2 linked regions of the Ovis aries genome follow. The main gene of each other region encodes a partner of the protein of the gene in region 2 in a complex. Links are inferred from orthologs where the notes say so. Each region holds a gene or a part of one and is shown on either strand. Other genes may lie near its edges.

Region 1 (4,583 bases), on a different chromosome or scaffold from region 2:
GTGTCTGTACAGTAAAAACAGGTTACTTGTTTTTTTCTAAGGCCACTAAAGGCTTGATTTTGCTTTTCTTTAAGAGTATAATAGGCCTGGGTTCCTATTCAGACTTGCCTACTTCCAAACTGACTTTAATAGGTAATCTGCTTAATTCCCCGGTGCCTCAATTTTCCCATCTGGGAAAGGGGGACGATCATAATAGTATCAATCTCTTAGAATTGCCATGAGGATTAATTTGAATCAGGCACCTGGTACAGTGCCTGGCACAAACGAGTTGCTTAATCAAATGGTCTCTCATTATTAAAAACAATAATAAATGAACCAAATTCTTCTAGAGTCTCCTCTACACTAAGAGTCTCAGATCTCTGCCCCACTTCCCAGAATTCCAGCTCAGAGTCCTGGACACAGCAGACACTCAACAAATATTTGTCAAACTGAGAAAAAAAAAAAAGAACTGTAATTTTCCATCTTAACAGCCTCTCTTCCAACTGTCCCCAAGACTGTCTCCAGCCTAACCAGCCAGAAATCAGAGGATCCCAGTGCCCTCCCATCCCTCAACACTGCTTAGAAATTTCTGAGGTATCTTGGGCCAGGCTTTTCTCTCTTTGAGCCTCCCTCAGTTTCCCCAGCAGCCACTAGACAGGGCCATGGGTCATTCTGAATCCTAGCTGTCCTGGGAGAAGGGGCACAGCCCAAGGCCAGTGTGGCCATCAGCAGGGAAGACCCTTCAGGAGATGGGAGTAACCCTCTGGTGGGACAGGCATCAGCTAACTTCTGCCCACCCCCCAGGAGATACAGGAGGTTTGGTCATGGCTCGAAGTAGCAGGGGGCCTTGTGGGAGGGCCAGGGCCTCTGGGACTGGGGGAGGCGGGGGCAGGAGGCTGGCCCAGACATTGCTCCTGCCCTTTTACGGTCTCGGTGAGTGAGGCAGCACTAACTCGGACATCCGCCATCCGCCTTCCACCGTGCCTGGGACCGGAAACGGGGGGGGGGGGGGAGCGCGCAAGGGGCGGGGCTGGGGGGGCAGTGGGAGAGGAGAATCCCCCGGGAAGAAGGTGAAGGAAGAGGGCTGGCTCCCCAAAACTGCCCTATCTCCCGGGCAGACCTTTTAGAGATGTTGCTATAATGGGGGAAAGGGTAGGCAGGAAGTCTTGTGGGTGTCTGTGGGTGCCCCCATCGCTCCAAATTCTCCAACAATCCCTTTTCAGCAGAAGGAACAAATGTGGGAGGGGGGGATTCTCTAACGACCACAAAAAGGAATGCCACCCAGATGTCAAAGGGCAGGGAATGTGGCGGATGAGAGAGGATGTGGGCCCCAGGGGCTTAATCCCCAGCGGCCCCCCAGGGGCCTCCCCCTCAAGCTGGGGGCTTTGGAGCAGGAAGTCTCTGAGAGAGTAGAGGAAGGGAGATAGTATTGTCAGGCTCAGGCCTCAAGGGAGAGATTATGGGGGGCCGGGGAGGATGGGAGAATGAGGGGGAGGGCCAGTCGGGTCCCCCAGTCCGCACCGGCTCCGCCCTCAGGTGAGCCCAGGAGTTTTGAGGGAGGCTCCGGGAAAAACAAAATCCCTGGATCCCTTGGGCCCCCCACCCAGGATTAAATTCCTGGGAAGATAGCTGGAACTCTCTGGGAAGCTTGAGTCCCAGGGGGAGAGGGCTATGACCTTGAGGTTTTCCAACGCCCCCCTCCTCCAACCGCACAACTCCGGACGGCTGGGTAAGGGGGGGCGGTGTTGAGAGGAGGGGGAGGTACGGTGGTGGGGAAAGCAGCCGGCCTACGGCGCTCTCAGCCCGCCCCCCCGCCCCCCACACACACACCAGCTGTCTCGACAGGTGAGTCAGTTAGACAAAGGCCCCCCTTCCCCCAGCTGCCGCGCCCCCTCCCTCTCCAGGGCCGCGCAGGTGGGCGAGAGGGGCCGCCCTTCGGTCCGGGGCCGGGGAGGCGCCCTCGGCACAGAGCGCTCGCTCCCTCCTAGGCACAGCCTGTTTTAAGCACATTGTGGGTGGGGAGCGGCGAGGAACGGGAGTCCCAACCAGACCCTCCAGGCTGCGTCTGGGTCCCTGGATCCGTCCACATCAACCTCCTTCACAGGGGGATGAACCGCCCAAATTTAGGGGTTAAGTACCCCCGAAGTTAATGAGCAAAGTCCCTCGTGGGAAGAATTTCCAGCGCCATGTATAGAGGGACCCCGAAAACCAAGCTCTACGTCTCAATCTCTCTTCCAGGTCCCAGGGGACTCCCAAGCAGGCCCCCCATAATCCCTCTCAGGGCCAGGTTGAGATTTGGGGGCAGTCTGAGTCCTGCCTAACCTCTAGCTTCTCTGCGGAGATTATTTGCCAACTTGGAGGTTCTCTGAAAAGTCTTAAAAATTTCGGGAGTCCTCGGAGCGCCCCCAAACCTAAGGGCTCCCAGGAGAATCTCACGGCATCACCCAAGCCTTGAGAGTCAAGGGGAAGTGGTCAGTGTTTGGAGCTTGTCCAAGGGGGCTCGGCCTCAAATCCGAGGCTCCCAGTGCCCAGTCCCCAAATTCCAACCGGGACCAAGCTGGGGGGAGGAGGGGACAAAGGCAGGGCGGCAGGAACCCGCGCCGGCCAGGGAACGGTCTGGAGGCAGTTGGAGGCTCACCTCATGGCTGCTCGGCGGGCGGGCGGAGCGCCCACGGGCTAGGTGCTCCCGGGGCGCCCCTGGCTCGGGGTTCAGAGATTCAGCGCTGGCTCTAGGTTCTGCTCAGTCTCCCCCAGGGTCCCGCCCCATAGAGTCCGGCTTCCTGGGGGGGAACGTGGACAGGGCCGGGGCGGGTCCTCGGGCGCCTCGTCCCTCTGGGGTTCTGCTCGAGGGGTCCGTGCGGCAGAAAGAGGGTGCGGCGTCCCCTCTCCGGCGCGCCCCCTCGGCCGGCAGCAGCTACAATGTTACTCTTACTACTGTACTTCTCTTTGCTACATTTCGTTCCAAAATTCCACTCCCCGCACCCACAATGCCCTGCGCCTTAAAGGGGCCGCGGACACCTTAAGGCGGTGGGGTTGGGGAGGAGTTGGTGGAGGGCGCTTAAAAGGGCAACGCGGAACCTTCGACTTCCGCTATGTCCCTCTTCCCCAACATTTTTGCACAGCGATGCACTCTGGGGGTCACCCCCAAATTAGAGGGGAAGCTTGATAGAGAGGAAGGGATCCTTCCTTAATCCTGAGTTCTCTCCCACGATGGAAATTCTTAGGGGAATATCAGTGGGGTACAATTTCTTCTCAACCTCCTCATGGACTTTTTTTCATTTCTTTACATTCTACTCAGTTTGGGGGGTGAGGAGGGCCCTCGGGTCAAGAATAGATTTTCTCCGATTTTCTCCCTTAAATCCTACCTTCGGGACGCCCCCATCCCCACCCCAAGGTCTCCCTCCTTCCCCAATTTATGAGGGGTCACTAAGGGGTGATCCACCTCCCTCGCCGAGGAGGGGGATGGGTGGGGAGGGGGCCCACCTCTCTCGTTGCCCCCCACCCCCGCCCGCCCAGGGAAGGTGAGGAGGAAGTGGGCGCGGCCGGCCGCTGACTCACAACCGCAGGGTGTGTGTGTGGGGCGAGGTGGGGGGGTGGTGCAGCAGTGGACCTGGGTGGGAATGGGACTCCCGATCCCTGTCTGAATAAGGCTCCTGGCCCCCTACCCACGCACGCCCCGCCGTGACTCAGTTTCGCGTGCGGAGGATGGTGGGATCATGCAGCAATCCGAGGGCACGGAGTTGGGGGACCCTCCCTCTGCCGACTCCTGCGAGACCCCTCCCCCACGCGCCAGGTTCAGGCTGAGTCCCTACACCCTCCCCGGCTTCCGCACCGGGACCCGCAGACTCCACCCCCACGTGACGCCAGCTATATGACCACGCCCCTCCTGTAGAGCGCCACCTGGCCTGGGGGGCAGGAGTCTGGGAAATCAGTTGGAAGTTTAGAAATGGATAAACTGAGGCCTAGAGGCAGGGAATAAACCTGGGCTAGAGCCCTCTTGCCTGAGCCACCAGGACTCCAGTGGTTAATGAGAGTAAAACAATTCTCAGGGCCTAGCTGACTTGATGAGGGAATCAAGCTTCCTACCTTTTTCCTAAAGGAGCCTGCTGCCTGGACGATACCCTGATCTCTATCTCATTCTTCTAGGCCAGTCTCTGATATTAATTCTTCTCTGAAGAACTGAGTAATCCTCTCCCCTTCTCTACCCCACACTGCTGCTGCTACGTCGCTTCAGTCGTGTCCGACTCTGTAGGACCCCATAGATGGCAGCCCACCAAGGCTCCTCCGTCCATAGGATTCTCTAGGCAAGAATACTGGAGTGGGTTGCCATTTCCTTCTCCCCTACCCTACAGTGGAAAGCCTTAAACCCTGATCCACTGTAGGTTATAATTATCTCTCTGTGTGTCTCAGGCTGTGAGTCGTTTGGGGACAGACTTGAAAACCCCGGTTCTTTGTGACCATGGGCAAGTCCTTTCTCCTCTCTGGGTCTCAGCTTTCCCATCGGTGAAATGGGAAAGTGGTGTTTCTGTGTGCCACTTGCACTATAGTCAGCACATTTTTTGGTAAAGATCCAAATAGGGACTTCCCTGGTGGTCCAGTGGCTA
Region 2 (4,411 bases):
TAAAATGTGAGCAAGAAAGAAAAGGAAGACATTCAAAAGTCAAAAATCCAGAGGGACTAAAATAACCAATTTGAATGATTTAACAATCTGAATAATTAGCAGTTGAGGAACAAAGTGATTTTATTTTTTAACTTTTTACTTTATATTATAGTTGATTAACTTAATTTCAAGTGTAAAGTGGTTCAGTTATACATACAGAAGAGACAAATTTAGACTTTCAGTTTACTAAAGCTGGAACTGAAGAACTGATATTAATATTCTATTTTCAGCATAAAGTCAGGATCTCAGAGGTGAGGCTGTATATGCAGCTGCTGTAGAGCAAATGAATCTAAAGCAGTGCCTCCTTCAGTGCTCGGCAGTTCACAAAAACCACCTTAATAGCCATTATGGACTAACACTTTATTCAAAATGTTAAAGAAACTGCTGAATAAGTTGTAATGTGACTTGCAACTATTAACCAAAAGGGTACTGTACTCACCTCTACCAGCTCTGCCGACGGCAACGTTGTATGTTGGCTCCCCACCTTGACTCTTTGTCCGGATGTCCATTGTGCAGTCACCATCCACGTATAGGCTATCTCTGATCACTGAGCACTTCTTTGCACCAAGAGTCAAACCATTGGTAAAGAAACCTTCCCGGTCTTTTCCTACAATCATATCTATTTCTACTGGCTGCCCCCGCCCCCAACCACAAAAAAAAAAAAAAAAAAAAGAGAGAGAGAGAGAGAAAACAAAACAAAAAGTTTTAGTTAATTTCTTGTCCTGGTATAACAGGAAAAGTGTCAAGTTTGTACTACCACTACAAGACATCCACATTTCATTAATGTAAAACCAAGTTTCAGTCATTTCTAAAAAATAACTTAATCTTAAACGGGATGACATTTTATATCAGTTAGATTTCACAGTTAAGAGAGTGGTCTGTTAACTAAGCCCAGTCTATGCAAAGAATCTCCAGTTAGTAGATGACACTAGATAAACTACAAACTTAAGAGTTATTTATAAACTTGTTTCAAGTCAGGTGGTACCCGAAGTGCTTATGTAATGGTAAAGATTCACCCAGAAACTTTCAACAAAATCTTACCTATCACAATCACGTAACAGTCTTGTCATATCAAACTTAAAGTTGTTTGAAAGTCTCCTGGAACAAAGCCCATGCTTGGCAGATCTGGTTACATCTACTCTGCTTCAAATAGCTTGACATACCCCCCTAGTATGAACTTCAAGCCCTGAATCTCAGCGCATCCCCAAATTCATATTTCCCTCCTCTTTTATTTTCGCTGCTACTCCCTCTCCAACTTTCCTTCCCCTCCCTCCTAAGTAATCAGTTTTCTTTCTGGGCAAATGCAAAGAGGATTCTGTCTGTAGCGCTGCAATAAGCAACCATAAAAGAACAGAGAAAATGGAGGGAGAGTGGGAAAGAAACTGAGGTAGCGACCAGAACCGGAAAGGAGAAAACGTGCATTCTAACATTCCATGAATAAGAAGGAAGGCGTCGCCCCCATCAGAACTGCAGAGTCATAGCAGGCCCCAGCCATTTCCAAGCACACTCCCGCAATCTTCCCAGCCAAACAGCGGGAACTCACACACAAAGACAAGAGGACTGCAGGAAAAAAGTTGATCGCCAGACGGCAATTCTCTGTAAGATTTGTAGTCCACTGCGGCAACAGAGAGCCGGAAAGTACCTGGATCAGGAGTTCTACACAGTTAGACCTTAAACATGTTAAGCAGTACAAGAATAATTAGTAGCACCCATAGTAAAGGGGCCTGAATTTTGGCATTTGATAGGAAGGGGGCGTGAAGCGTAGGAAATTAAGAGAATGGTCCTGTATTTGATATAATGTCACCATTTTAGACCCTTGTGCAGAAAGAGGCAAAACAATAAAGCAGCACTGGAGGGCTTATTGACAGTTATTCCCCAAACATGTGGCAACCGAGTCAAACCACCAAGTCACAAGAAAATCAGGCACCGGGAAGCATTAATCTGCATTAGTTCCCTTACGAAGATCACTAAAGAGGGAGGGACTTGGAGAACTGAACATCCCCTCGGTCTTCGCAGATTATTGAAAGCCCCAAGCACCCCCTTTTTTTAGAACTCTGTTGCGTAACTGGGGATAACGGTATATCGATGAATCTCCATAGGAAAGAAATCAATGGCAGATCGCCATCTTGGAGAATTAAAAAAAAAAAAAAAATCCTATGGAGCCAGAGATTCACGAATCCACCTACGTTGTCTGCGTTCATTTCTCGCAAGCCCAAGAGGCCTGGACACCGGCAAATCTACGCCAAGTGGCCGCGAGGATCCTGGGGGCCGGGCAGCCGCCGCCTCCCACAGCTCGCGGCGCGGGCGGCGCGCCGTCACCGGAGGAGCTAGGGGCGGCTAGACCACCCGAGGACCCGCGCCCCAGCCCGGCTCCTCCGGTCCCCGCTTCCACCCGGGAATGTACAAAGCAAACCTCAGGGCTTCCAGGGGACCCCAGGGCGGGGGCGAGAAAAGGGAAAAGGCCCCCCACCCACGAACCGGTGCGTACCCCCTCCCCCAGCCTCATCCGGACAAGCTGTGGGAACGCCGGCGAGCCCGGCCGCCGCCCCCGCCACTCAGCGCAGCCCCTGCGAGGGGGCGTCCCCGGGCCTCGGCCTCTCCGCCCGCCCGGTAGCCGCATCCTCGGCGCCCGCCGCTCCTCACACCTGCCGGCGCGGCCCTGCCCGAGTCCGGCCCCGCGCTGCGGCGCCCCCACGGCCGGCCCCGCATGGGTCCGGGGCCGGGTACCCAGGTCCCCGCCGGTCCTCACCGTAATGCTCTGGAAGACGCCCCCGGCCGTGGCTGCCCAGACGTATTTGGCGTCGCAGTAGCCGACAATGGCGGCCTCCTGGCAGCAGCCATCGCACATCAGGTTATCCACGTAGCTCTGCCAACCGGCCATCTTCGAGCCCTTCGCACTGCAGCGGGGACGGCAAGGAGCAGCAGGCGCAGCGGCGGCGACGGCGGCGGTCGCGGGCGGCGGCGGCGCGGGGGGAGGCGGGGCGGGGGCGGAGAGGAGGCGGCTCTGCGCAAGCACCGACCGCCCCCCTCCCCGAGGAGCTGCGGAGGGAGGACGCGGGGACGGCGGTGAGGGACAAGCCGCGGAGCGCGCCCGGCCCGGCCGCCCTCCCGCCCGCGACCGCGGGGCTGATTAACTAGCGGCGGCAGGCTGCGGAGCGGCAGTGCCGGCGACGGCGCTGGAGACTACTCCTCACTGTGGCTCCCTTAGCTCTCCGCCGTTCCGGCGGGGCGTGCGCGCGCGCGTGCGTGCGATCCTTCCGCGGCGCCCTGACTCTGAGGGTCCCGAGAAGGGAGGGGGAGACTGAGCGGGGGCGCGGCCGCGGAGGGATACTGCCCGGGGCAATCACGGCGCCACGTGCGGCCGGCGAGGTCTGAGTGAGGCGGGTGGTTGAGGGTGGCTGAGCCTCGGACCCCGGGCCTACGGAGAGGGCGTCTCTCGAGTTGCACTCAGTACCCCTGGGACGGCGGCGTCTGGGGAGCCTCGGAGTCCCCGCGTCCGGGCTGTGAAACGCCTCGGTCCTGCGGCCGGCGGCTCGGGATGCGGAATCTTGCGCCTCGGTGTCGGATTGCAGAGTTGCCCTGGTGACGGGATGCGGAGCGTTAACTCCTCTTTGTGGTCCCGGCGGGCGGGTAGCAGAGTCGGCCACTGTCATCTTAGGCATCCTCAGTGGGACCCTCTTCTCTGGACCTCTCGGCCACAAAGGCTACCAGGCGGGCGCACTCCAGCAATCTGAAATCAGAGTGGCATTCTTGGCTTTCAGGAACATTTCTGAGCTTTGCTGGTCTTTCATTGTTGCTTCATTTGGGTACCAAAGGCCTCTCATTGTGTGGGTTCCTTGATAGGAAGATCCTCTCTTCCCCTGTCTTAAAGCGGCTAAATTGCTCGTAAATTCCGAAGGAAACAAATAGCTAGCAATGTAAAACTATTGGTTGGTAACGGAATATTACTGGTGGGTCGAAGAAATCTGAATATATAAAGAATTTAAAAATCTAAGAACGGGTTCGTTGTATGAACATGTTAGTATTTCTACTCTCAAAAGCTAAACTAATTTCGGGACCCAGATCGGAGAATGGCTTGTATTTAGGTGGTAAAACATGGGTAGAGTCCCTGTGAATATTGCGTGGTCTTTAGTAACCGCTGGGCGTTATGACTATGCAAAGGATTAGGAGACTTCCCACAATTTCGATTTTAAATGAACTAAACGATCTGTCAGTGAAGGGAAGAGAGCGTCTCAAAGCGTTTTTGAAAAAGTTGATTTTCAATTTTAAAGTTATCATGTAAGGTCACAATTAGTGACAAGGAGGATTCCACAGATGTTGCTCAGGAAAGAAGATAAAAACGTTGCTACGTAATCTAATTGCTTCTGACGTT

Evidence for each region.
Region 1: the proteins of PFN2 (region 2) and VASP are in contact, whole or in part, in a crystal structure (PDB 2V8C), measured with the Mus musculus proteins. The link is inferred for Ovis aries from reciprocal best matches to the Homo sapiens genes PFN2 and VASP. Residues at the interface, in NP_062283.1 of Mus musculus: Gly3, Trp4, Ser6, Tyr7, Asn10, Cys13, Tyr30, Trp32, Met131, Tyr134, Ser138, Phe140; in NP_033525.2 of Mus musculus: Gly165, Pro166, Pro167, Pro168, Pro169, Pro170, Gly171, Pro172, Pro173, Pro174, Pro175, Pro176.

What each region holds. Positions count from the first base shown.
Region 1 is NC_056067.1:52,890,426-52,895,008, reverse strand, and holds the start of VASP (vasodilator-stimulated phosphoprotein), read right to left. Parts: upstream 2,918-4,583; 5' UTR 2,623-2,917; coding exon 2,618-2,622; intron 1-2,617. UniProt on the Homo sapiens protein: Ena/VASP proteins are actin-associated proteins involved in a range of processes dependent on cytoskeleton remodeling and cell polarity such as axon guidance, lamellipodial and filopodial dynamics, platelet activation and cell migration.
Region 2 is NC_056054.1:238,933,050-238,937,460, reverse strand, and holds the start of PFN2 (profilin-2), read right to left. Parts: upstream 2,953-4,411; 5' UTR 2,921-2,952; coding exon 2,789-2,920; intron 672-2,788; coding exon 375-671; 3' UTR 1-374. UniProt on the Homo sapiens protein: Binds to actin and affects the structure of the cytoskeleton. At high concentrations, profilin prevents the polymerization of actin, whereas it enhances it at low concentrations. By binding to PIP2, it inhibits the formation of IP3 and DG.